2 linked regions of the Lytechinus pictus genome follow. The protein of the gene in region 2 interacts with the protein of the main gene of each other region in a pairwise test. Links are inferred from orthologs where the notes say so. Each region holds a gene or a part of one and is shown on either strand. Other genes may lie near its edges.

Evidence for each region.
Region 1: the proteins of casein kinase II subunit beta (region 2) and RING-box protein 2-like interact in a two-hybrid assay, tested with the Homo sapiens proteins (2 studies listed by BioGRID). The link is inferred for Lytechinus pictus from reciprocal best matches to the Homo sapiens genes CSNK2B and RNF7.

The regions. Positions count from the first base shown.
Region 1 is NC_087260.1:9,042,371-9,054,757, forward strand, and holds RING-box protein 2-like, read left to right. Parts: upstream 1-7,557; 5' UTR 7,558-7,766; coding exon 7,767-7,992; intron 7,993-8,883; coding exon 8,884-8,931; intron 8,932-10,759; coding exon 10,760-10,878; 3' UTR 10,879-12,363; downstream 12,364-12,387. Other genes in the region: nucleoside diphosphate kinase 7-like, read right to left, coding at 2,700-2,820, 3,636-3,676, 4,910-5,076, 6,148-6,270. UniProt on the Homo sapiens protein: Catalytic component of multiple cullin-5-RING E3 ubiquitin-protein ligase complexes (ECS complexes), which mediate the ubiquitination and subsequent proteasomal degradation of target proteins.
Region 2 is NC_087259.1:823,799-836,757, forward strand, and holds the start of casein kinase II subunit beta, read right to left. Parts: upstream 5,870-12,959; 5' UTR 5,779-5,869; intron 3,362-5,778; exon of another isoform or gene 3,295-3,361; intron 935-3,294; 5' UTR 890-934; coding exon 818-889; intron 1-817. UniProt on the Homo sapiens protein: Regulatory subunit of casein kinase II/CK2.

The sequences.
Region 1 (12,387 bases), on a different chromosome or scaffold from region 2:
GAAGGCATCTACATGTATATCCGTACCAGAGCAGATGGGAAACTTTTCAACATCGACCGGCTTCGTGCCAAAACAATGGTCACGATGGTTCTCATTCGTAAGATGTTGTACGGTAACGACGTGACGTCGCGACGCGTCGCCCTGCCTTTTTATAAAGAAGCGGACGTAGTAGGCCTACAAGACCTAGCAATACAGCCACCTGTCCTGTGCATGTAAGGAGTTTGGATCACCCATCAGCCTGTAAGACAGAAATCCTGATAGACTCAAGACACTGACTGTCCTCCAGATATCTCTATCAACAGCACGCACTCGTCTGGTTGTGGTGGACTCCTCACCTACCTTCGATTGACTATCTGTCTCTAGTTCCCTTTCACTGGACAAGGAGATAAGCACCAGGATGGGAATATCTGTCACAGCCATGGCCAAGCTCCTGAACGGAAATAAGTCCTCGAAAACGTACGCCGATCAATAAAAGCGGCTGAACACCTTCCATGTCAGCTGCCTCGGACGTATCCTGCACATGAAATGGCAGGACAGAGTGAAAAATATAAGGCACTTCAGCGTACGTGCATGCTGTCATCACCAGTTTATTCTCGATTCTTAGTGAAAGGTGCCTCAAGTGGTTGGGGCATGTTCGCCGCATGAAACTTTGGCAAATCCTAGAAGGGATTCACCAATGTAAGGTGAGCTATGTGATTGGTCTCTAGATAGATCACACCTCTGTTATAAACACATCTGCAAACGTGACATAAAACTTGGCCGGCATTAACACTAACACTTTTGAAGATGTAGATGATAGTCGTCATCTATGGAGAGCTACTAAGTACAGGGGTCAATACGTCAGAAAATAATCAGAATGCTACATTGGCACTTGGCAGGCCAAAGACCAAGGAGGAAGGCTAGGGCAGCATCACTATCTGAACCTGTTTCAGCGCCATCCTCATTCATCTGTACAAATTTGCTTTAGAGACTGCCTTCTTCTTCTTCTGTATCCTTCCTCCGCTGTATCGGAGATCCGCAGTTTAATACTGCATTAATATTAGCGTTACATATTTTGACGTGAGAGTAAGGTAGACCGAGAGAGGTAAATATTATGCAAGAAATTTAAGACAAGTAGGTTGAGGTCGTTTCTGGAGAAGTCTGCTAATTCGACGTCATGAAGAAACAGGACGGAAGCGGTAAATTGTTGAGGTTCTTGATCATTGAAATGCACAAAAAAATACTGCAGTTCCTCGTCTTCTTTTATTAAGTTTAGAAGTGTTTTCCTGTGTGTGCAAAACGCTGGGTATTCTCCAACAAAATGTACAACACTTTCCAGTTCGGAGTGGCAGAACTTGCCGGAATTTGTGGTACTTTGATTCAGAGAGAATAACCTTCTATTCGTTGGGTATGTACTGCAGGATAATTGAGCTCTGATGGACATAGCTTCCCTCAGGAGAGGGCCATGCCCGACCATAGACTTAGAGAAGATTTTTTAGCAATTGCAATTTCAAGGGCAGCATAGTGTTGTTTATAAATTTTTCCCAGTGCTAGCTTCTTCCATACTTTATATGGAATGTGATCTCTAAGGATGTTAGTGAGACTTGGAAGTTCATAACTATTGAGGATTTTTATCCAGCGTCTTACCAAGGGTGTATTGTATGATATACCATTCAACAGGATTCTTCTCTCAGTGCGCTCGTCTGAAAGGCTTGCATATTGCCCAAGTAAGAGAAGAATTTCATAGTCGATTCGCTTATCCATTGGGATGATATCGAGCAATAAATAAACAATTTCGTCCGCCGCACTCCTTGGCAAACCAAGCACACTTTTAAAAAGAAATGTTTGAGCCTTGTTCAAACGGGACAGCATGTAGTTGGTGAGTTGAATAATCTGAATCCCATATAGCATTCTTGGTATGCAGAACATTTTCCAAAGATGAGTACATATTGGTGGCAGCAGGCGTAGAGTTCCTTGCTTGGTTCCAGTGAGAGAGAAGAAGGTGTTATATACAAAGGTATTGCTCATCATTCTGGGGCAAGGGGTTCAAATTCAAGTTTAAAAGATGGCATCTGGCGGCCATATTGGATTTGACCTGAAGATGACCTTATATTGCAAAAATAATAATAGAAATGGATTCGACACACACCTAAACCCATAAAAGGAGTTCTTCCTCATCATTTTAGGGCAAGGGGTTCAAAAGTTAGTTTTTTAAGATGGCATGTGGCGGCCATTTTGGAATTATGCAAATTAGCAAAATTGCCCAAACGGCAACTTTGGGCAACCAAGCTGAATTTGTTCTAGGACCCCATAGGAACACAAATCAAGAAAAAAACTTCATCGGAAAAAACATTTCTAGGTTCGGAAAGTGTCAAATCGACTAACAAGGGAGACGTATCACACACACATCTATGAAAATATGAAATAATAATGATTTCTTCTAAAATTCTCTTCTTCAACCTTACAGAGTTAACTAACCATGAAGGGGATTTACTCTCAAATTTTGATTGCATGGGCATTTAAGACTGGGTATTTTTTACCTCTACCCTTTTTACCTTTGCCATTTTTACCTTTGCTATTATTACCTAGAGCTACCATTTTTACCTCTGCCATTTTTACCGTTGCCATTTTTACCTCTGCCATCCCAGGACAAATTTCAAATTTTACCTCTGCCATTTATAAAACCAAACCGATTTCTTCACAAGATTTAACACACTTACTTATAGAATGGTTTTCCCGAATGCTCTCTATAGAACTCCTCAGCTTGACCTCTGGTCAGCCTGGTCATCTTGGCATTGGTCACCAAGAATCCTTGCTGGTATGTCATATCAATAATGGGACCTATACGGGGAGGAAATCAGCAAGATTTGAGCAGATAAGACGCTCCTATTTTCATTACGGTAATATTAGATTGTGAAGAAGATTAATGATGATGATGATAGTGGTGATGATGGAGGTGGTGGTGATGATACATGCTTTCATTTTTATTAACGTAGAGGATGACAATGATGATACATGTATGTGCTTTCATTTTCTTAAAATAATGGTGGCGGTGATGATGATGGTGGTGGTGATGATGATGACGATGATGAAGGTGGTGGTGTTGATAATGATGATGGTGATCATAAATGAAGATGATGATTATGGATGATGAATGATGATGATTATGGATGATGATGATGATGATAATGATGACGATGATGGTGGTGGTGATGATAATGATGATGATGATAATGATGATGGTTATGATAAATGAAGATGATGATTATGGATGATGAATATGGATGATGATGTTGGTGGTGGTGATGATGATGATGATGGTGGTGGTGATGATAATGATGACGATGGTGATGATGGTGATGATGATGATGGTGGTGGTGATGATAATGATGACGATGGTGATGATGGTGATGATAATGATGGTGATGATGGTGATGGCATAACTTTTAAAGCATCAAATCCACTCTGCATTCGCTATGCACTGTGCACTCTGTTTTTAATCCATATGAACAACATTACATAAATCATGAATAAAAGTTCAGGATTTTGTAAAACAAGATCTTCGTTAAGTCAACCATTGTCTTCAAAAGACAAACTTAGTTTAGTAATTTACAAAACAAATAATGTATGAAAAATAAGTGTTTGTATATACTCACCAAATTTTGAAATGGCATCAGGTTTGATCAGCCCTAATGTCCTGAAAAAGAATGAAATGAAATAGATCATATTGTATTCCACAATATAGGCTACTATCTAACCATAAAAAAAAGATCTAGAGGAATTACTGAGAGATTTTCAAAGAACAAGTAGAAAACAAGTTTTAAATTACTTGATTAGGGCATGACGACCCTGAAACGCAAAAAGATAGCGCCACAAATTTTTTTGACTATTTTCTTTGAAACCTCGCGCAACTTTTGAGACCAAATTCGCAACATACGGGTATATGTGTACCGTAAGTCTAAGGGAGATATGACCTTTGACCTTGGTCATGTGATGTGAAACTCAAGCTGAATGTTCAGTAATACTTGATTAACCTTATGTCCAAGTTTCATGAACTAGGTCCATATATTTTCTAAGTTATGATGACATTTCAAAAACTTAACCTTAGGTTAAGATTTTGATGTTGATTCCCCCAACATGGTCTAAGTTCATTGACGCTAAATGACCTTTGACCTTGGTCATGTGACCTGAAAATAATGCAGGATGTTTAGTAATACTTGATTAACCTTATGGCCAAGTTTCATGAACTTGGTCCATATACTTTCTAAGTTATGCTGTCATTTAAAAAACTTAACCTTCGGTTAAGATTTGGTGTTGACGCCGCTGCCGCCGTCGGAAAAGCGGCGCCTATAGTCTCACTCTGCTTCGCAGGCGAGACAAAAATTGGCTTTCAAAACTTTTCTTTGTGGAAACCTTTAAATTAGATTACAAAGGTGACATCTGGAAAAAAGAAGAAGAAAATTTGAAGTGAAATTGGGTGTTAAATATGAAAATGTTTTTCACAAATAAATTTACATACTTTATTCATAATAAATAAAACAATTGTTTTCAGAATTTTTTTATACCTGTAGGCTCGTAGTTTCTGTGGTAAGGAATGTGCATGCCAAATATTGGCGTGATCGCGCAAATGGCGGCCAAGATCAGAAAAAGGGGGGCATCATGCCCCCCCTAAGTCCAGGGTACAGGTACATCTCAAATAGTCCAGTTCGTTTAGGGTTAAACATATAGAGGAAACATTGAGAGATTAGAAGAAAAAAAAAACAAGAAGATTATGAAGTTTTAGATTTACTCAATTCCCAAGCATGATACCATGTTGAAAAACTCTAGTGTACATGTAAGATGAGATCAAACTGGCATTAGACCAAATGGCAAGGATTATTAGAATTAGACCAAATATGGCAACTCGTTATTTTTGCTTATAAATACTTACTTCTGTTTGACATTTGTAAGCGCTCTCTTCGTGAAATCATCAGCATACTCAACCAGGTTCAGCTGACGTGAGTGAACATTAACAGTACTGCCAACAAAGAGGTCTCTTAGATGGACTGAATCGCAATGTGATCTCTTCAAGAACTGACGTCTATTCTTTAGGTCATACTGATAAAAAAGAAGGAAACAAGATTCAAATTAATTGAATTAAAGACCAAGTCATCCCAATGACAATTATCATTTGAACAAATTAAGATAAAACTGACAATTTTTAGCGTAATATAAGGAAATAAATAAGGCTGTTACTTCTCTGTTTTTATATAGATTATGCAAATTAAAATCAAGGTTTGCCATAATTGTAAAATTCAAATTCTTCAGTGATATGTACAAAACATATAAAGATTGCTGCTTCATCATTATAAGTTTTGTAAATCAAGTAAATCTTAGAAAAACATTGCAATTAATAGATAATACAAGCACTATATATGCGGATTAAAAACCCTTATTTTGAATACATGCTAAACACAGTAAACAGATGTGAATGGAAGATTTTTAATTGATGGACAGTTGTGTTGTTCATTGGATTTGCTTTGATTTTCATAAATTTAACTGTATTTTTGATTCAGTAATTTCAGAGGCTATTCATAAATTTAAACCTGTCTGAAAAATAATTGAGAAAGATTAAAATCTAACTCAACTTGTGATTGATCTAAATAGGTGTACCGTAGAAAATGTTGCATCAATTGCAATTCGAACTAGATTTTAATCTATTTCAGCTTTTTGCAACACAAGTCCCAGACGTAGGACAGGAATATCAAGTGCCGAAATACACGTATGTGTAGATTCTTAAGCTTCAACAAACTCTTGAGGTTTTTAAACAAAAGTGCGACAGTTTTTCCTCATATCAAAAATTTGGACAAATGTTGGATCAGAATTCATTGTGTTACAACATCTGACTTCATTTTATTTTATCAAATAATTTAAGTTACAAGGTTTCCCCTTCATACAATAAACAGTCATGTCATCAAATTCATGAAACTGTTCATTCATCAAAATTGAATCCCCACAAATTTGGGTTGCACATTTTCTACGTTGGGGAAGCGTTTGAGACAGGGGCCAATCTGATGCAAAAAAAATGCATACTGAGTAACCATTGCCATCTGGGTGGAGACGGGCAAAATGTGAATTTGTTTGTTTAGCAAATATATGAGATGACCAAGGCATTACAAACAAGCTTACCATTTCAATGGTGTTATCATTAGGGTAGAAGAGGAACTGATATCGTCTGATAATAGCTGCATTGTTGTCGTACCATTCACAAATGAAAGAGTAGCGACCATCTTGGGCAGAGCTTGCCTGCATGCAAAAAAGAAAGTTATTTGATAATATTAAATTATTGTACTTTTACAGTGCTTAATACATTGGAACCACATTTTTAGTGCTTGACAGATATAGGATTACCCCACTCATCAAATACTGGTATTCCGCAGGCAATGTACGCACTTTCTCCATTCCCTCAGAGTCTAGTCTTTAATTGGTGAGAGTAATCTTTATCGTATCTTTCGGTATCAATGATTATAAATGTTTCGTTAAACTATATTTTGATGACGTTTGGAATCATAAAAGTCCGTATAATTATCATCATTTTACAAAGTCAAAGAAGACCGTTATGGTTTACTTTTGTAAACTATTAAAATTGGGTCTCCCTGGGGTACCCATCTGAACGTCCACAACTGTACAAGTGATTTTTTAGTCATGAAATGAATTATTCATAATTTAATTTTCTCTACAATTGAATGCTCCAGTCTTCATGGTCTAAGTATGTATGATGCATAATTTACCTGTGCTAGTAAGTAGTATTTTGAAAAGATTTATTTACCAATTCATCATAATATTTGCAATTTTGCCATAATTTTTCTTTTTGAAAATAATGCTATTTTGTGACGGCGTCTAACTGACTCTAAACTTGTCTAAGGCAAGCCTAAGGCTACGTCTCGTTTGCTCTTTTTACCGATAGTATCGATATCAAGGAATTCTAGCATGTCTAGTTAGGAAGACTTTCGATGAAACAGGTTTAGTAAGATTGGAACTAACTCCGTGGTTGGTGGATAAAGATATAACTTGTCCATGTGTTGAGAAATTAAACGGGCCCCTGCTCCACTTCCTCGAGCGCAAGCGAGCCTTTGCCTCGGCCTCGGCGGAGGAGCTCCGCCTCCGCATGCCGCTCGGCTCCAGCTCGAGCTCCGCAGCTTGCAAGTTAATAAGTGGAAATAGGCAACTAATGAATATATTACATATTTATTTGATACAGTAGCCACTATAAACACTCACCATTGTTAAGCTTGTGTTCTAAGCAGTCTTCTCTCCTGAAAAGTGGAAAGTTCGATAATTCTAACAAGTAAGTTTGAGACGGTCTGCTGCAAAATTCGTTTGAGGTTGTCAAGCAACAAATTTTGAGTAAATCAAAAGTGGGGTCAGATTAAGAATTTTTTTTTTTACAAAAAAAGGATTAAAAAATTTGCGTTTGAATAAACAAAAATTTTGTAATGGATTATTATTTTTTTTGTAATAATTGATTGTAAAAAAATATAAAAATCAAGCAAAATATAAGTAATAATATTCAAGTCTTTAAAACTTATCGGCACCGTTATAGATAGGTGCGCGCCCTCTTCGTTAATTAAATTATAGGAGTTTGAGAAAGTCGAGACGAAAACAGAGACTTGTAAGACGTATTTTCTTGATTGTGAACGGTAATTGAAATGATCAAATCCATGAAACATCATCAATAAATCGACACAAGTGTATGTGCACTGCTCTTCTTAGCTTGTTCACGTGAATCTGAAGAAACAACGAGTAAGATGTCGATACCTCGACCTGCCGCAAATCCGGAAGTTGGCAGCGGGGGATCTACGGGTCTCGGTCCATCAGGAACGCCAGCGGTAACCGGGACTGGGACGTCGGCGAACCCCAAAAGTACCGACCAGAACCAGAGACTATTTTCCTTGAAGAAATGGAACATTGTGGCGATGTGGAGTTGGGATGTGGAATGCGATACTTGTGCAATTTGCAGGGTTCAAGTCATGGGTAGGTGTTGTCTTTTTGAATGCCCACATTCCACAATTCAATCTAAATTGTAATTAAAAAAATATAATATACCGGTATATATTTTCATTTTTTTTGTGAGACTGACTGAGCTGAGACTCGGACTGAGTTTGAGAAAGTGAGAGAATCAATCTAGGCCTATGCTATATGTTAAAAATAAATTTTATCTTCGTTGAAAATATAAACGCCGGCCAGTCACTTTCACTTTGTCTTTGAAATAAACAATGATTGTCGGCCGGTGGCGTACCGCCGTAATGCATTCCCATTAATTATGTCTGACATGAGCCAAAAATTTTGAGGGGGCCAGATGTTAGACGTGGCATATCGGACAAAATTCATAAAGTTGAGAGTGAGTGAAGCGAGTCGGAGTGAGCGAAGCGAGTCGGAGTGAGCAATAATTTTGACACTTATTACAAAAATCCAATTTTTTATGGATTTTTACAAAAAGAATATTCAGATAATAATATCATATTTCACTCTTCATGCCTTTCTTTTCTTTCCTCTTCTTTTTTGTGAATTGTGGTCATAAATTTGTCTCTTTTTTTCATGGTTGTGATGTTAAATTTTTTTGGGGAAGGGGCAATTAATTTAAGTGCCCCCAGCCCCCTCTCATTCGTATGCCACTGATCATTGTGCTCCATGTCTCTTCATCCATTCACCTTACTAGATTATGATTCAGGTATTTTGATGAGGAAGGCAGTATTTCTTCTCTTCAGTCATGTTTGATATTCCTTTAAAATGCGTGTGCTTGAGTCTATTTGCCAAGTTTTCATTTATTTAATTGTGCTACATGTATTGAGTATGAGTATTCCATTGCCAGCAAGCTTAGTTTGCAAAACCTCACAATAAACATATGTAATTATTTTCTTTCAGATGCCTGCCTAAGATGTCAAACAGAAAACAAACAAGAAGAGTGTGTCGGTAAGCCAATCGGTCATATTCCAATGTAAAGGCCAAGTGAAGTCCACCTAAACCTGAAGTCGATGTGAATTATAAGAGGAAAATTACTTGTCTATAATTTAATCAAAATCATGTTAACAAAGTTTGTTAAATAGGAGAGTGACTGTGACAGAAATTCATTGTGACTCTGTGGGATATTTGGTATTGCTTTTTCATTTGCAAAGTACATGTTTCTTATATTTTTTTTCAATTTTAAGTTTTAATTTTATCCCATTTTTTTAAAGTAGGGGTAATACTGATACATGTAAGGAAGCTGTTAAAGATTTTATCAGGCTAATTCTATCAAACCATTCTTTGACATTTTTCTTTATTTATCTTCATGCTTTGCAGGAATAGGTAATGAAATGTTATGCAGATGGAAACTTGTTGATAATTAGTTAAAACAGAGATGTATTGATTTGGTTTTTAAATATAATTGGGTTTATTATTCTAATTCTGTCCTTTTCAAAACAATGTCCAGAATATTTGGTTAATTTTCATATCTATCATACTTGAAAGTGCAATGTCGCCCTCTGCATTTTCTGAAGTGATATCTCATGAATTGAGCTGCTGAGTGCAATGTATGCATATTACATGTACAAGAAGGGCCATTTGCAAGAAAGTTGTACTAGTAATCAATTATCAATTATTTTAATAATTCACGCACTACATGCCTGAAAATGTAAAAAAAAATCAATTGATATTGATTAGCTGATTTCCATAGTTTCAAGTTCAACTGTTTTATAAATGCACATCCAATTGCCAATAATTTTCTTGCCATGCCCTCCCTCCCCCCCCCCCCCCCCCCCCCCCGTGTAAAAGTATCTCCATGTAATTCTTATTTCTACATCTCCGTATCAATCCCTTTACCGGTCTTTTTCAACTTTATCTTTTCAAGCTACCCGATGAAGCCTCCCCCCAGCCCTTTCTCAGTTTCCTCGTGTCCCAGGCGCATATCCAGCATCAGATTCTACAAAGCATTTCATGGGCCCAATTGTCTGGGGACAATAGGGACTCTATTATGCTTGTGCATGGGCCCATACATTTCTTTGTCTTAATTGATGCTGGATACACTAGTGTGTCCCCTCCATATTTTGTTCAATTTTATTAAAGGTCAAGTCCACCCCAGAAAAATGTTGATTTGAATAAATAGAGAAAAATTAAACTAGCAAAACGCTGAAAATTTCATCAAAATCGTATATAAAATAAAAAAGTTATGACATTTTAAAATTTTGCTTATTTTTCACAAAAGAGTGGTATGCACAACTCAAATGAGACAGTCGATGATGCCCCTCACTATTTCTTTTGTTTTTTATTGTTTGAATTAAACAATATTTCATTTTGTATAGATTTGACAATAAGGACCAACTTGACTGAATCATATAGTATTTAAACAATGCCCATTCCACATGTTCAGGGAGGAATTAATCGTTGTTTCACTTGACAATGAGGAGAAAAATAGAATATTCCCTATTTCATGTAATACAATACAAAAGAAATAGTGCGTGGATGACGTCTTCAGTCTCCTCATTTGCATACCCACCAGGATGTGCATATAACTGTTTAGTGAAATTAAGCAGAACTTTAAAATGTCATAAATTTCTCATTTTACATCTGATTTTGATGAAATTTTCAGTGTTATGTTTGTTGGATTTTTCTCTTTTTATTCAAATCAACTTTTTGTTGGGGTGGACTTGTCCTTTAAGTTTCAACTTACATGCATTTCTCTTGTCTTGTTCGGTAGAGCTTCCTGTAGGTTGCATGTTTTTCCTCTTATTTTCATCCGTTCTTCTCTTTCTCTTTGATGCAGTTGTGTGGGGCGAGTGCAATCATTCCTTCCATAACTGCTGCATGTCGCTTTGGGTCAAGCAGAACAACCGCTGCCCTCTATGTCAGCAGGAGTGGATGGTTCAACGCATAGGAAAGTGAGGCAACCACACCCTTCGTCTGTTCGATCAATACTGCCCTCACTGGGGGTTTAAGGCACATGACAGTGATCACCAAACTTGTGACTTTGATGTTAAATCTTGTAAGGATGTTCAGTGTTCACAACTCCACAATGTCTTGTGACTGTGATTTTGGACATTGTGCTTCCAGAGTTCCAGGACATGTTAAATTCATCGGGCATCTGAAGAGGGTTGCTCAGTGTTTGATCAGAACTGTGGACTGATGGACATAAACATGTCCTAAACTTCAGATAATGATAATAATTGATATTTGTGTAGCACCTTTCACAAGATATAACACATACATGTACACCATCACAGGAGGGAGTTTCACAAAGAGTTATCTGTCACTTAAAGTCATACTAATGTGCCGCATTTACATAATATTTAACGCATGATCTCCTTGATGAAATTTGAAAATTACTTGACAGGGACGGTATCCATCGAGTACAGTGGGTAGTTAGATATGAGGATATGGAATAACTTGGGCTTTGAAATTTCAGTTGAATCAATCCAATATTGATGAAGATTTTAGAAGAGGTTTGACAATATAGAGAGGTACAGCAGTATGATTCAGATTCAGAATATATATGTGTAGTAATTGTAAACAGGCTTTGACAGGTTTCCAATCAAAGCAGATTTGTTTCAACAAGTCTGGTCACTCAGATTATATTCAGTAATCCACTTGATGATTTCACATAAGGTGTTGGGTGCTTATAGATTCATTTAGACAAATCTAGTCACTCTGGTTATAACTATTCACAATTTTAATCCACTTGATAATTTCAGGTACTAGTTTGGTGTTACATATACACAGATGAGGCCAAAAGTTTACATACACCCATGGATTTCAGTGAAATTTGTTAGCCTGCCAAACATCGTAAAATTTACTATATCTTCAGAAATATAAATACTTCAATGACAAATTTGGTGTTAAATGGAAGAGTATATTAAGCTCTTTCACATGATTGGGATGAAACTGGGATTAAAGTATATTTCAGGTGGAATTTTCTTTGAAAAAAAAAGTAATATTAGTGCCAAATGTATTCTATTGTTTATTATATTTTCAAACATCGTTTCACAGAAATATTAATATCTATGATTTATATCATGATATGTCACCACTGAACAAAAAAGTGGAATCTGAAATGTTTGTGTTGAGAAGTAACTAGCACAAATATGAAATGTTTTTGTCAAGTTTTTATTTTTGATTTGTCTAAAATATGAAGAGTTTTGGGGAAAAGATGACACCTAAATATTTTTCAGCTCCTGATATAAAAAGCAATGTGATGAAGGGGCATGACATAGTCATTTATTTGATATCGATTTCGTCATGATAGCACAATTTTATAAGGTACAGTAAATTTTATGATATTTGGCAAGTGTCAACTTTTTTTTTTCTGGATGTATGTAAACTTCTGGCCTCAACTGTAGGTGGTGTCAAAAATAAATTCATGCGAACAACCTACTACTCTTTATCAAGTGTTGTGTT
Region 2 (12,959 bases):
AATTTTTTTTGTACACAAATTCTATACTCATACTGTGATCTATTTAATCTTTTTTTTTTTAATCCTGAAAATATACAATTCCCCCCCCCCCCCCCCCCAGTTTGCAGGGACTTGTACACCAAACTCAGCTCTGTGTGAACAATGCATAAGATAGTATCATTGAGGTGTACATTGTATGCAACAATGCATTTGGGCATAAAATACCTGAACATGGGTAAAAAAAAAAAAAACATGTAAATGTACACATTAAATAAACAAGATGCTGTAGAACACATCACATGACAGCAGGTAAACTCTCTAAAAATTCATGGAGACTAACCGCCCTTTCACAAGGTAAAAAATTCGTAATTTGAATGATTCCAGTAAAAAATAAGGCTAATGACAAATTTTTAGCACGTGTGAAACGAAACTATAATCACAAATGCTAATCACAGTCATGAATTCAAATTCTACTCCGGAGGTGAATTCTAGTTAAGTTTCACTCAAATTATGATACAAATTTTGTGTGTGAAAGGCTTGACCTCAAAAACATCTATTGGAGGCGGAGCTTACGTGTCCTATCAAGCACTTCCATAGATAATACAATTGTCATGCACTCATTGTAGTTTGTATTTGCCATGCAGTGCTTTGATTGAAAAGTCACTAAGGGCACATACCGCCTTCGCTCAGGAATTCGAATTCAAATCAAAGTTTTCGAGTCAGCGTGTGGAAGGTCTGATGATTCTATAGACGAATTGCAATCATCATTACAATGATGATTCAAGATTCACATGTGAAAAGACCCTTACTTAAGAGACTTTTGGGTTTACTGACTCACCTCACAGAAAAATTCATTGCCCCTAAGTCCACAGAACCATGAAATCCATGATACTTCCTCAGAGCTACTCATCTTTTCTGATTCCTTGTAAATGTAATCCTCTATTTCTTTTAAATCCTGCAAAATAATGTTTAGGTCAATAAAGATGCATTATTAAAGGGGAATTAAATCTTGGTCATAAATACTGAGGACAAAATATGTAAAACAGAATATTGAAAGTTTGAAAGAAATTTGACAACCAACAAGAAAGTCATAGATGTTTAGAAAATGAGATCCCTATTCCCTATAGTGGGAAGGGACAACTTTCCTGGCATAGGCCATACTAGACAGGAATAACCGTCGTTTCTGGGTATTTATTTAACAATTTATGACATTTTACTATAATCCCCATTCACTGACGGTAGTGTGTTAGTGCGAGCCTGCATGTGTAATCAGGTCACCAACTCGGGCGACCGGGTTTTGTCTAGATTTTTATTTTTATTTTTTTTAAATGACATTATATTATCTTGAACGAAGGCCCACTATTTTCGTTAGACTCTAATCTTTCTTTTGATACTATACAAGTTCTAAGAAAATATACGTTAATATAAATTACTAATTTCCATACAATTGCAATTTATTTTTCTTTAGTAACTTGGGAATAATTTTTGTATTCACTAGAGCGCTCAAAAACTTGAATTTTGGGCATATTTTTGTGTACGCCCTCTATTGGTGGAAAATAATATGGCAAGAAAATTTTCATTTTTTTATCGCTATTTTTAATTAAGAAAAAAATAATTTAAATCATCAAATTTACTTAAGGGCCAAGTTGTATGACGAATAGGTGTAATGGAAACTGTCAGTGTAAAAAAATCAAGCATTTGTCCCAAATAAAAAGAGAAAATAATCCAAACATTGTCAACCTTATTTTGCCACACATGGAGATATAACTGAGAACAAGGTTATATCATAACCTTGTTCATTGAATGAGTGATCTAACGTTACTGCTAATACGTTGGCTGTACGTACGGGCCAACAACTCTTTAATCTATGTATTGGTGAGTGGAGCCAACGCAGTTCAACGGAACAACCAAAATACAGAGACTGAAGCTTTTGGTCTAAGGCCATACTAACAGCTGTAACTTTTTATTGCTTGTCCAATTTCTTTCAAACTTTCACCATTCTGTTTAATCTATTTTTCTCCTTTCCAACATGACATTTAAAGGCCAAGGCTGGATTCCCCTTTGAATCCAGGGATGAAGTTGGTCATTTGAGTGGTGTGTGGAATTAATAGCTGAGCAAATTTCGCCGGAGCAAATGCCACAATTTGAAGTAAAGCATTTGGGGGGGGGGGGAATACATTTTAGCCAAGTGTATACACTGTACACTGGAGTAAATAGAAGAAGAGTACTGAGTAGTTCAGTAGCCTTGCATCAATATGACACCACCAATATGGGCTGTTAGTGTTATCGTCTTTATCGCTAGTCTTGTTGATAATCGCCGACGTCGGCAGGCCATGAAATAAGCATTGAAATCAATGCAAGAATATTCTTTAGCACTTGGCAAGGTAAATTTATTGATCATCTCCAGGACAGCGTGTACGCTTTTTGGGAGAGTATGGTAGTGTGACCTTAATTCGCGCGTTAACTAATTTTGCGCACGGGCAAATACCTCAATATCTAATTAATATTTTGAAAAAAATGATATCACCAACAGAAACAGCGACTTAAAATTACCCAGTACCGTATATTAATTTTCTTGAAGGTAAGATTAATGTAAATATTTGCAAAACTTCGGCAAATTTTATTACCTTTTGCGTCCGCTCCAAGAAAATCCGACCTTCTTGACAAGCATCAAGAATTCGCCAGTTTGCAAGCGAAGTCTCCAAATAAGTAAGTAAAATGTGATACCAACCGAATTTATGGCATTTTAACCTCCATCTGATACAATTATGTTACCTTTGTCTGCTTGATTTCTTTTCTAAAGCCTTGCAAAATGATTGTGCACAAATTAAGGTCACACTTTTTATGACACTTTTACAGCCAAGCGCACACTAGTCGATCGCCGTGGAATTGTGAAATCACAATACCAGCGAAACCCTTGTCCTACTTTATAATTCCGTCAAGCAAATTTGACTTTAGGATCTTGCCTTCCGTTTGGTATTCATGATTTTGATTAATTTTGTGTGAGCTGTGAGAAATTTTTGAATGAAAATCAACTTCATGATGATTTCTAAAATGTGCGCAAATTATGGTCACCCCATCATACTTCTTCAAGGTTCAAGGAGACTACGAAGTCATCAAAAACCTTTACCTGTCCGAGGCCGAGCACTGACATGATTACGGTACTACTGTCCATGACTGTCCGGTATTACAATACATGATGACTAGACCGGTTCGATATTCTGCACATGCACTGCCAGTGCAGTGCAGCTGCAGTACGAATGTACATAAAATTCATGACCACCGCTCCAACTTGATGTTGAATCTCTAACTTACCGGACTGGGAATTGATCTATTTGTCTCTGAGAATCTCCAATGGAGGGATCACCTAGCCAGGAGGCTTCTAGAGAGTAAAAATCATTTACTAACGTAGGCTTACTCTCAATGAAGCCAGGTCTTCCTTCTCATTCACCTACACGAAGGACCCCAAAACCTGAAACTTTCACCCCCGAGATTTCTACTTTCCTTCTAAAAAAAATAAAAGATCTAGCCCTAAATCATGTACATGGGATAAAAACTTCATTTCCGACATTTCTACGCTCTCTTTATTTTTAAACAAGAATTCATCAAAAAAATGAGAAAAATATTGTGAAAAGACGGAAGAGACTTGCCCGATGTTTACGCCGCCATCTTGTTTCCTATTGTTCTTCGCCAACATTACGCAAGTCTCTTCCGTCTTTTCACAATATTTTTCTCATTTTTTTGATGGATTCTTGTTTAAAAATAACAAGCGTAGAAATGTCGGAAATGAAGTTTTTATCCTATGTATGATGGGGTGTCCAAACTTATACTTCGCGCACTTTTCAAAAATATTCATCAGGCTTAAATGTTTTCACAAAATATTCATAATTTATACAAAACCAATTCAAGAAATAGTAACCACATTGACGGCAAGATAAAATCATGGATGAAAATGTAAAGTAGGTCAAGGGGATTCGCCGGTATCGCGATCTCAAAATTCTATTCCGATCGGCGAATGCGCGCTGTGCTGGAAAACCGTTCAGAAAAAGTGTGACCTAATTTCGTGGACCAAAGTCTTTGTGGACATTTAAACAAAAACTCAAGCTCAAAAAGTGAAATATTTATATCAGATTGATGGCAAAATGCTATAGAATCGGTTAGTACCACATTTAACTCACATTTTTGATGATTTCTGCTTGCAAAATGGTGATATCGTGATGCTTGTTGAGAATATCAGATTTCTTCAAAGTGGGCGCTAACGGTGACAAATTTGCCGATCTTTTGCCAATATTTTCATGAATACTGAACTCATCCTAAAGAAACTTACACCAAAGGGTAATTTTAGGTCGCTTTTCACGTTGATTACGTCAGATTTTAAGGATATTGGCTAGTTTTTTAGATAATGACCGTCCGCGAAGTATGGACACGCGCGAAGTTTGGCAGTAGAGGCGCACAGCCAATATTGGAGACTGTCTCTAATGTGGGAGATTATCTCCAATATCAGAGACTTTTGTAAAGAATTTGGGTATCCAATTTCAGAGACAGTCTCCAGTTTTGGAGACCAATTTCCTTTGTTTACATTTGCTCCAAAAGGATTACCTTGGCGGCAAATAAAAATGTGATAAGAAAAAAAATGAAATGAAATGAAAATCCATAATTTATTGTTCGAAAATAGACATGACATGAAATGCTCTGAAAATTTGCTTTGCCCAATTGATCGTGGGCCCGGCAGCCGCTGTGCAGCGCCAGATCGACGAGGCTCTTTCCCTTTACTCGTTGAACGCCAAACAGGGTAGCAGCAACTCCCATCTTTTTACGTCTTTTGGTCTGACGCGGCCAGGGTTTGAACCCTCGACCTCCCGGTTGTGAGACGGACGCTCTACCAACTGAGCCAACACACTGGTGTGTTGCAGATTCCTCATAAAAAATTACTCCTTTTCACCGTCTACTTTAAAATTTCACCGTCTAATTTTGTTTTGATAAGGATTTTTGTTGTCAATCACACACAAAACAAATGGGCTTCTGACCTCAGTGACACAAAATTTTGGGTGGAAAAAATCATGCTTTTGTTGGTGTTGTTTCTTTTGTCCTTTTGCAAAGCAAGTCTCCAATGTCAATGTGGGAGATTGTCTCCCCTATTTTTAGTATTGGAGAGTCTCCCATATTGGCCGTGCGCCTCTACTGTTTGGACTCACTGCCACAGGCACAGGCATAGGCCTACGTTGCCCCGGGAACCTCGACACGACGTCCTACGTTTTCGGGCTGCCGCAGTAAAGGCCTACGCCTACGGCTACGGTACATCATGATTTAGCCTTAGGGCTAGATCCATTGGCATTACTAAGTAGGCCTATACTATAGTAGGCCCTATTACGGTACTATTAGAACTAGAAGGAAAGTAGAAATCTCGGGGGTAAAAGTTTTAGGTTTTGGGGTCCTTCGTGTAGGTGAATGAGAACCTGGCTTCATTGAGAGTAAGCCTACGTCAGTAAATGATTTTTACTCTCTAGAACTTAAGCCTCCTGGCTTGGATCACCTACCGTACCGGTACTATGTATTAGAGAGAGGTACCGACTACCGTACCGTACCGTACGAACCGGTACCGTACCGCGTACGTTAAGGCTAAGCACTGTCCAAAAATATGAGTTACGGTATCACATCACATCACATCAGCATGATCAGGTACGGAAATGAAGGATTTCTCCGGAAGATTTTCCGGTCTTTACTTCACAACTTCATTAATAATAATGGGCTACATGTAGAACCAGTGTCAATCTCAATAAACTTGTTAACATGCCGTACCTTTAACCTTTATAAATAATGAATTCCTTGATGGGAGAGTAGCGATACATCCGCCATGCAGCAAACGTCTTGCATTTATATCTGTTTCTGCGCTGCGCGCGCGCGCGCGCGATCGATCGATCATATGCTGCATGCATACCGGTAATATATCCGGAAGTATATACTAGTAATATGCTCTTATTTGCTCCCACGGGGCCAAATGACATGGTAGACAAAAGCATGTTTTTTCTCCAGACCTTTGTTTATGGATAAGAATTAAAAATAGAGTATGCTCCAAAAAATCTGGCTGCAGGAACTGTTTAGTGAAAAATATGGGTGAAAATGTCAGAATTTATGAGTTTAAAGTGTTCTAATATAAAGACTAGTGTCAGTGTAAAACTCAATAGCAGTGCATTATTTTGCATCCGCTTAGTTCTAAAATTCAAACCTTTTTTTAACAGATATTATGTTTAAATATTCTGTTTGTTATTATTATTATTATTTATTTGGCCATAAAAAACATACAAAAATTGTACAATGTAGTTACATAAATACAATTTGAAATTGAATAATGAAATATGGATAAAGTAGAAATGAAAGAGAAGAAGAAAAGAGTAAGAAAACGGTTTTTCCATGGGCCAGGGCTCGCAAAAGTAAAATTCAGTACTATTTATTGCCCAGAGGCATGCGAGCCCTCATGGAAAAACCGTTGAGAGAGTATTGCACATTCAATATATAAAATTGCACATTATTAAAATTCAAATAAAACACATTGACAACATCATTTTAAAAAGTATGTAACGCCAGGCAAGATAAAAGAAATAAAGAGGGGTATTGGGAAGAATTTGAATACCCATGCCGGACTGATTAAGGAATGTGTGTAATGCTTAACATAAAAAACACAAAAATAACTTAAATTTGTGTGAGGTACCAGAGCCCGAAAAGCAACAATGAAATGTAATAAGGAGGAATACCCTAGACAACAGCAAGAGCTAGCATGCCTCCACATTCCTATTAATGACGTAGGCCTACTCGCCAGGCTCCAGCACCTAATACATAACAATCATAGAGACAACAAATAGTAAAATTACAGGAAACTCGCCTCCTTTGATGAAGAAAAAGTAGAGAAATTAAGAACTGCGTAGTAATAATAATAATTAAAAAAATATAGTAATGATATCGAGATTCTTAGGTTTTTATGTGCCCCAGCAGTTTTGCTAAAGAGGAATTTAAAAAAATCAACTGTACCAAATGGATATAAAGGATCAGCCTGTACTACTTTTGAGCATTATTCTGAAATATTAATTGAAAAAAAAGAAAAAAGATTTAACTATATACTAAATCCTTACTGACAGATAATTGAATCAAATTACAATAAAGCAAACACAATTGTTGGATGCACATCATAGAATGAAATATACAAAGTACATGTAATTATTTAAGTAATATGGCAAGCATATCAAATTACAGGAAAAGTGTAATGGCAAAAATTAATTTAGGATGCGTTTATCCGCCACTTTTTTTACCCTAGAATCATGATCTGAATCATGATTCAAATCATGATTCTGCAGAATCACGATTGCGTTTAGTCGAAATTGAATATAATCATGATTAGAATCACAAACATGAAACACGAAAAAAGGGGCATTTGGAAAGACGTTTCTGCAGAATCACGTACGAAAATGTTCGAATAAACGATATCGTGATTACAATCATGATTCTATGACCTCACTGTTGTGTCGGGCTACTTTCGATTTGACTCTTGCCAAGCTCAAGGCGCTCTTATATGCTCATTGTATGATTATGTACTACGCATGCATTTCTTGTCATGTTCAAGTTCTGTGTTGGTCATCGCATCGTCCACTACTTTTCATTTTTTGGTCATGTCTTCAACTTCAAGTTCTAGAAAATGAATTAACTGGACAGACAATGATCTCAATTGTTGTTGAGTATACAGTATCAACATTAATTGGATCTACGCTGAAATTCACTTCCGAACACCATTTTGGAAAAACTAACAAGATGAATAGAAGCATATGGAACCTATAAAGTATATGATAGAAATAAACAAAATGAGGTATAGACTGAATTCTGGAAGCAAAAGATTTTTCGAGAGCCGAAACACGTGCGAAAAACTTCCTCTGTCAAACTGCGCACTAGTGTGATGCGCACTGGATTGGCCCGAATCTGAGGAGAAACAGCATTGGAATGAAGGTCGTCTAAACGCTGATTCTGTGATATTGTGATTCATGTTTGTGTTTTGAATCATGATTCAGATCATGATTCAAATCATGATTCTGACTTGAGGTCGCATAAACGCAGCCTTAATATAACTGTTCTGGAGGTAAGGTCCAACTAAACAGAGGAGAAAAGAGGGGGAAGAGATATATGCACTGTATATTGAAGCAGACAAAAATAATTCTTTAAGAAATATCATTGTAATCATAGCGCAAATAATGAGGTGGTGAATTGACATATCAATGCACCAAGTGTCTGAATGCAGATGCATAAACAAGCTGAAGCTTAGGGTGGTGGAGGGGGTTAAATGTTGGTGCTGTGTATGTACATATTTTGGTCTTGGGGTAAAGACGTATACAAGACACATTTTTTGCATGTGTTGGAAATTGTGTTGCCATGGTAACAGTGTATTATGATAAAATAAGGTAAAAAAATCTTGCAGTTAGAACTATACTTCCTCTGTTTTCAACCGATTCTCATGAAATTTGGTACACACATTGGTCTTGAGGTGAAGATGTCTAAGACACATTTTTTGTGTCTTTCAGAAATCTTGTTGCCATGGTAACAACACATTATATGGCAAAAAGTTGGTAAAAACCTTGCGATTTGAACTTCGTCAGTTTTGAACCAATTAATTCTCATGAAATTTGCTCACACATTGGCCTTGGGGTAAAGATTTGCAAGAACCTTCTTTTTTTTTGCATTTGTCAGACAGTGTGTTGCCATGTTTACCACATTGTAGATTAAACTACTTCTCAGTTTTCAGCCCGTGCTCATAAAAGTTGGCACAAATATTCATTTTGGGTAAAGATTCATATTCAATGTTAAAGGGGAATCCAGCCTTGGTTATGAAATGTTCGGTTAATGACAAGGATTATAAAAATAGAGAGAATGGTGAAAGTTTGAAAGAAATCGGACAAGCAAAAATAAAGTTATGGCTGCTTTAAAATTAAGATCCCTGAGACTTTATATGTAGATTTCAAATTGGCAAGTGGGTAAGTAAATTATGACAAGTTGCCCCCCCCCCCCCCCCCTGGCGGATTTCACCGGGAAAATAAAAGAAAAACGGGAAAAAGAAAAAAAGGAGGGAGAAAGAAAGGGGAAGGAAAAGGAAAGGAGGAAAGGGAAAGGGAAAAGAAAACTAAGAAAAAACATGAAAAAGGGAAAACGGAAAGATAACGGGAAAAGGAAGGAAAAAAGAACAAGTGAGAAAAAACAATTCGCCCCGATATACAAATACATTAGCATGATTAGTAAGACAGGGAAATAAATTAAAGATGACAAAAAGGCAAACAAAAGCGGGAAATAAAGGCAGAATGGAATTAGCCAAAATCTAAATTGGAAAATAAAGAATAGGGACAAGATAACGTACACTACCGGGCTGCCGAGGATTGAGATAACGAGCGGGAAGAAAAATGAATGGTATATAGCATAATGTCGTATGAAAGTCTATCATAAACTTGCTAAATCTCCAAAGGCTCTGTCCAAGACTCAAGACCCCGTGCAGTGGGGGCTCTTCATCTGTAACCTTTAATGGGTTCTATAACGGGCCCATATATGGACCCTTCCTGCATTAAGCTTTACATTGAAGCACTTGCGTACCGGGGGTGGTTCCACAGCCAAGGGGAAATAAAAGAAAATAAAGGAGGCAGCGAAATGAGATGAATGAAAAAAATATATGACATGATATTTGCTATAATGATGTAAAAATCTATCACATAATTAGAATTTCATTTTAACAGGCCATTTTTTTCTGGCTCGCTTCGCTCGCTTGCAACTTTTTACAAATTTTCCCACATTTGCTATGGTGTGCCCCTAATATTTGGATGATTACGATACACAACTGCATTGAATGTATGTGTTGTGTTAAAGCTATATAAATATACACGCAATTTGATTTAAATAAGTGGCCATCTGTAAGGTTTAAAATAGCTTTGATATCAAGAGGTTCCGGGGCTCTGCCCTGGACCCCACCCATAAAGCACCGTACTGTTATATGGATGAGTTTGGACCATGGCCCCCAACAGTTCTACAACCAAACCAAAAAAAAATGAGGAAAGAAAGGAAAGTGTATCATATTTTTCTGAATATCACGTTAAAATCTATCTTCATGTTAGCTCGCTCGGGACCTATATTAAGCTACTTCTTGCCACAAGCGCCATACTCGCCCCCCTCGAGCATATAGAGCTTCGCCCTGATGCTCACAATCATAACAAAAATCATGTTCACCGTGGCGTACAAAAAAGAGAGAAAAAAGGAGAGAGAGGAGGGTGAATATGATATCATCTTTTAACATTATGTCAAAATCTTTTAAAAATTGGATTTTTGCAATAAAAATATCAAAAATGTTTGCTCGCTCGCTTATATATATATATATATTTGCCCGATACGCCATATCGCCCCCTCAAAATTTTTGCCTTATGACGCCATTGCCTGTTCCATGATATGACCGGGAAATTTTTGGCTCTTGCCCCCCCCCCCCCTGGCCACCGACCCCTGTTACGCCGCTGACAGGATCGTCAAGAGAGGTGACAATGATGTATACATGTACCAAAGGCTCTGTTGGTCAATGCATTGCCGTAGGGATAAAGCAATACCTGCAGCGAAAAATAAGAGTAAACTAAAGAAAACAAAATAGAGTAAAAAGGGAAAGAGCAATGTCATTGAAGAAGACTTTTAAAAATTCTAAGACAGGCAATTTTGGGAGCAAGAAGAAAAAAAGCGTTTGTAAAGAAAAGAAACAATATGAGTTTGTGAGGACTTGTAAGATAAGAATGCTCGATTGTGGGTCTGCGCAAGTTCATCCCCTTTCCTGGAGTTCACAGATTTGTACGAGACCTCTTTAAAGGTTATCGACACGTATTACATAGATGAAATTCAAGATTACGACTTTGAACTTAGTAAATACATAAGTTACAGGTGCCTATAGCTTTCTATTCAAATACTAGTAGATTATTCTAAGCGATACAGAGCAGTTTGATTGCAAGAAATTGTGAAAATTTTTGCGGGTGGTGAAAATGATTCGATTCCAAAGAAATTTTCTATCACAAAACGGATATTATTTTAAACTCATTTACTTTACAGTATCCTCTCCAAACCGAGTTTAAAAAAGGAATTATGTAATGGATTTATTCTAAGTTACTAGTTGGCATTTCTTTTATTCGTTCCATACCATAACAAAGTAGTAGGTGCTTATCAAGCCATATCAGGTGACAAGAGTACGTTAAAGAGTGGCGTTGAATGCAAATAAAGCCACACGTCCCTATTCAATAGATTATTCTGCGCAATTCGGAAAAAGAATTCACGGGCCAAATAAAACACTCGGTCACATTTGCTCTACGGCGGCCGTACGGCGAGTCGAAAACAGCCGTTTTATAAATTTGTATTCAAACCATGCACCTATATGTAGCTGGTACACAAAATGTTAAAACGGCTGTTTTTGACTCGCCGTATGGCCGCCGTAGAGCAAATGTGACCGAGGTATAAAGGCCACCGCACACCTTACGACCCGACCAGTCGCCGACTGGCTTGCGACTGGGTGAGGGGAGATGTGACGTCACAGCGCATGTCAGCTTCAGAGTCGCAGACCGGTCAGAGACAAGTCGCAAGGAAAATCGGAAGGATTTGACATGTCGAATCCTTATGACTGGATCGCAAGCTCAATCCAAATTCCAGCCAATCAGACAGCAGAGTTGCACGACGCGTATATGATAAACAACGCGCATACGCAGTAGTAAACGCATTCTCTTTGTTGTTATGCCAAAAAGCAAAAAGCGCATGCGTGAGTCGCAAATCGGATCGCAAGGTGTGCGGTGTCGTGGCTTATGACTACCTTGCGATTCATCTCCCCTCTCTCAGTCGCAAGCCAGTAGCCGACCAGTCGGGTCGTAAGGTGTGCGGTGGCCTTTACTCATTTGGATAATCTGAATAATAGGTGCAAAAATTGTAATTAGTATAGTATTTGAAATCAGTATTCTTAATTAACTGTTGGAATTTTCTTAACTCATTAACATTACAATAAAGACATAGGTGTTTATCAAACCATTATCAGGTGACAAGAGTACATTTTAAAGAGTGATGTTGAATGCATATAAAGAAAAAGTCTCTTTTCAGGAATTGATCTGATTAAACAATACATAATAGATTTGATTGTAATTAGGAAAAAAGAATTCTCGCGCCAAAAATAAAACCCGTTTCAATACCAAAATTCAGCATTACAATAAAACAGTAATAGGTGCTTATCAAGCCACATCAGGTGACAAGAGTATATTAAAGAGTGGTGTTTAATGCATATACCATAAAGACACACGTCCCTATTCAGATTCTGAATAAACCAGACTGAGACTATATGCAATTTGAGAAGAAAAATAATTCACACACCAAATAAAGCCAGATTCATTACCCTTTTAAAGCCAATTCCCTATATCACAAAACTTGTATTTTTGACTTGGTAACTCATTTGCAATCTCTAAATAATATGTGTTTAACAAGCATAAAGAAATCAAATTTACTTTTAAGGTTATTGGTGTTACAACAAATTGGAATGCTCGAAAAATCTTAAGCATTTGTTTTATCATCAGGAAATTAACAAATCACATGTCATAAGTATTCCATTGCCACTAGTTAGTATGGATGGATTTTTTTTTTAATAGTTCAACAGGAATTCCTAAGATTTTTGTGCAGGGTTTTGAAAAAGGTCAATACTAATTTCGAGGTCCGATGAGGATAGGGATAAAGATATAAAGAAAACAGCAACGTCATTTAAAAAAAAACCAATACATTCATAAATTCACCTCATATTTCGGAGAGGCTGAAAAGGAGCCAAGAAGTTCAATTCGTATAGGCCTACTTTTGATTGGGTGGTTTTAATCAGGTGAACGCATTTAAGAGCAATAACAAAAATTAATTTGTCTTTAAATCTCATCCCGAAATTGGATACTTTCAGTATGAAGCTCGTGCTATAC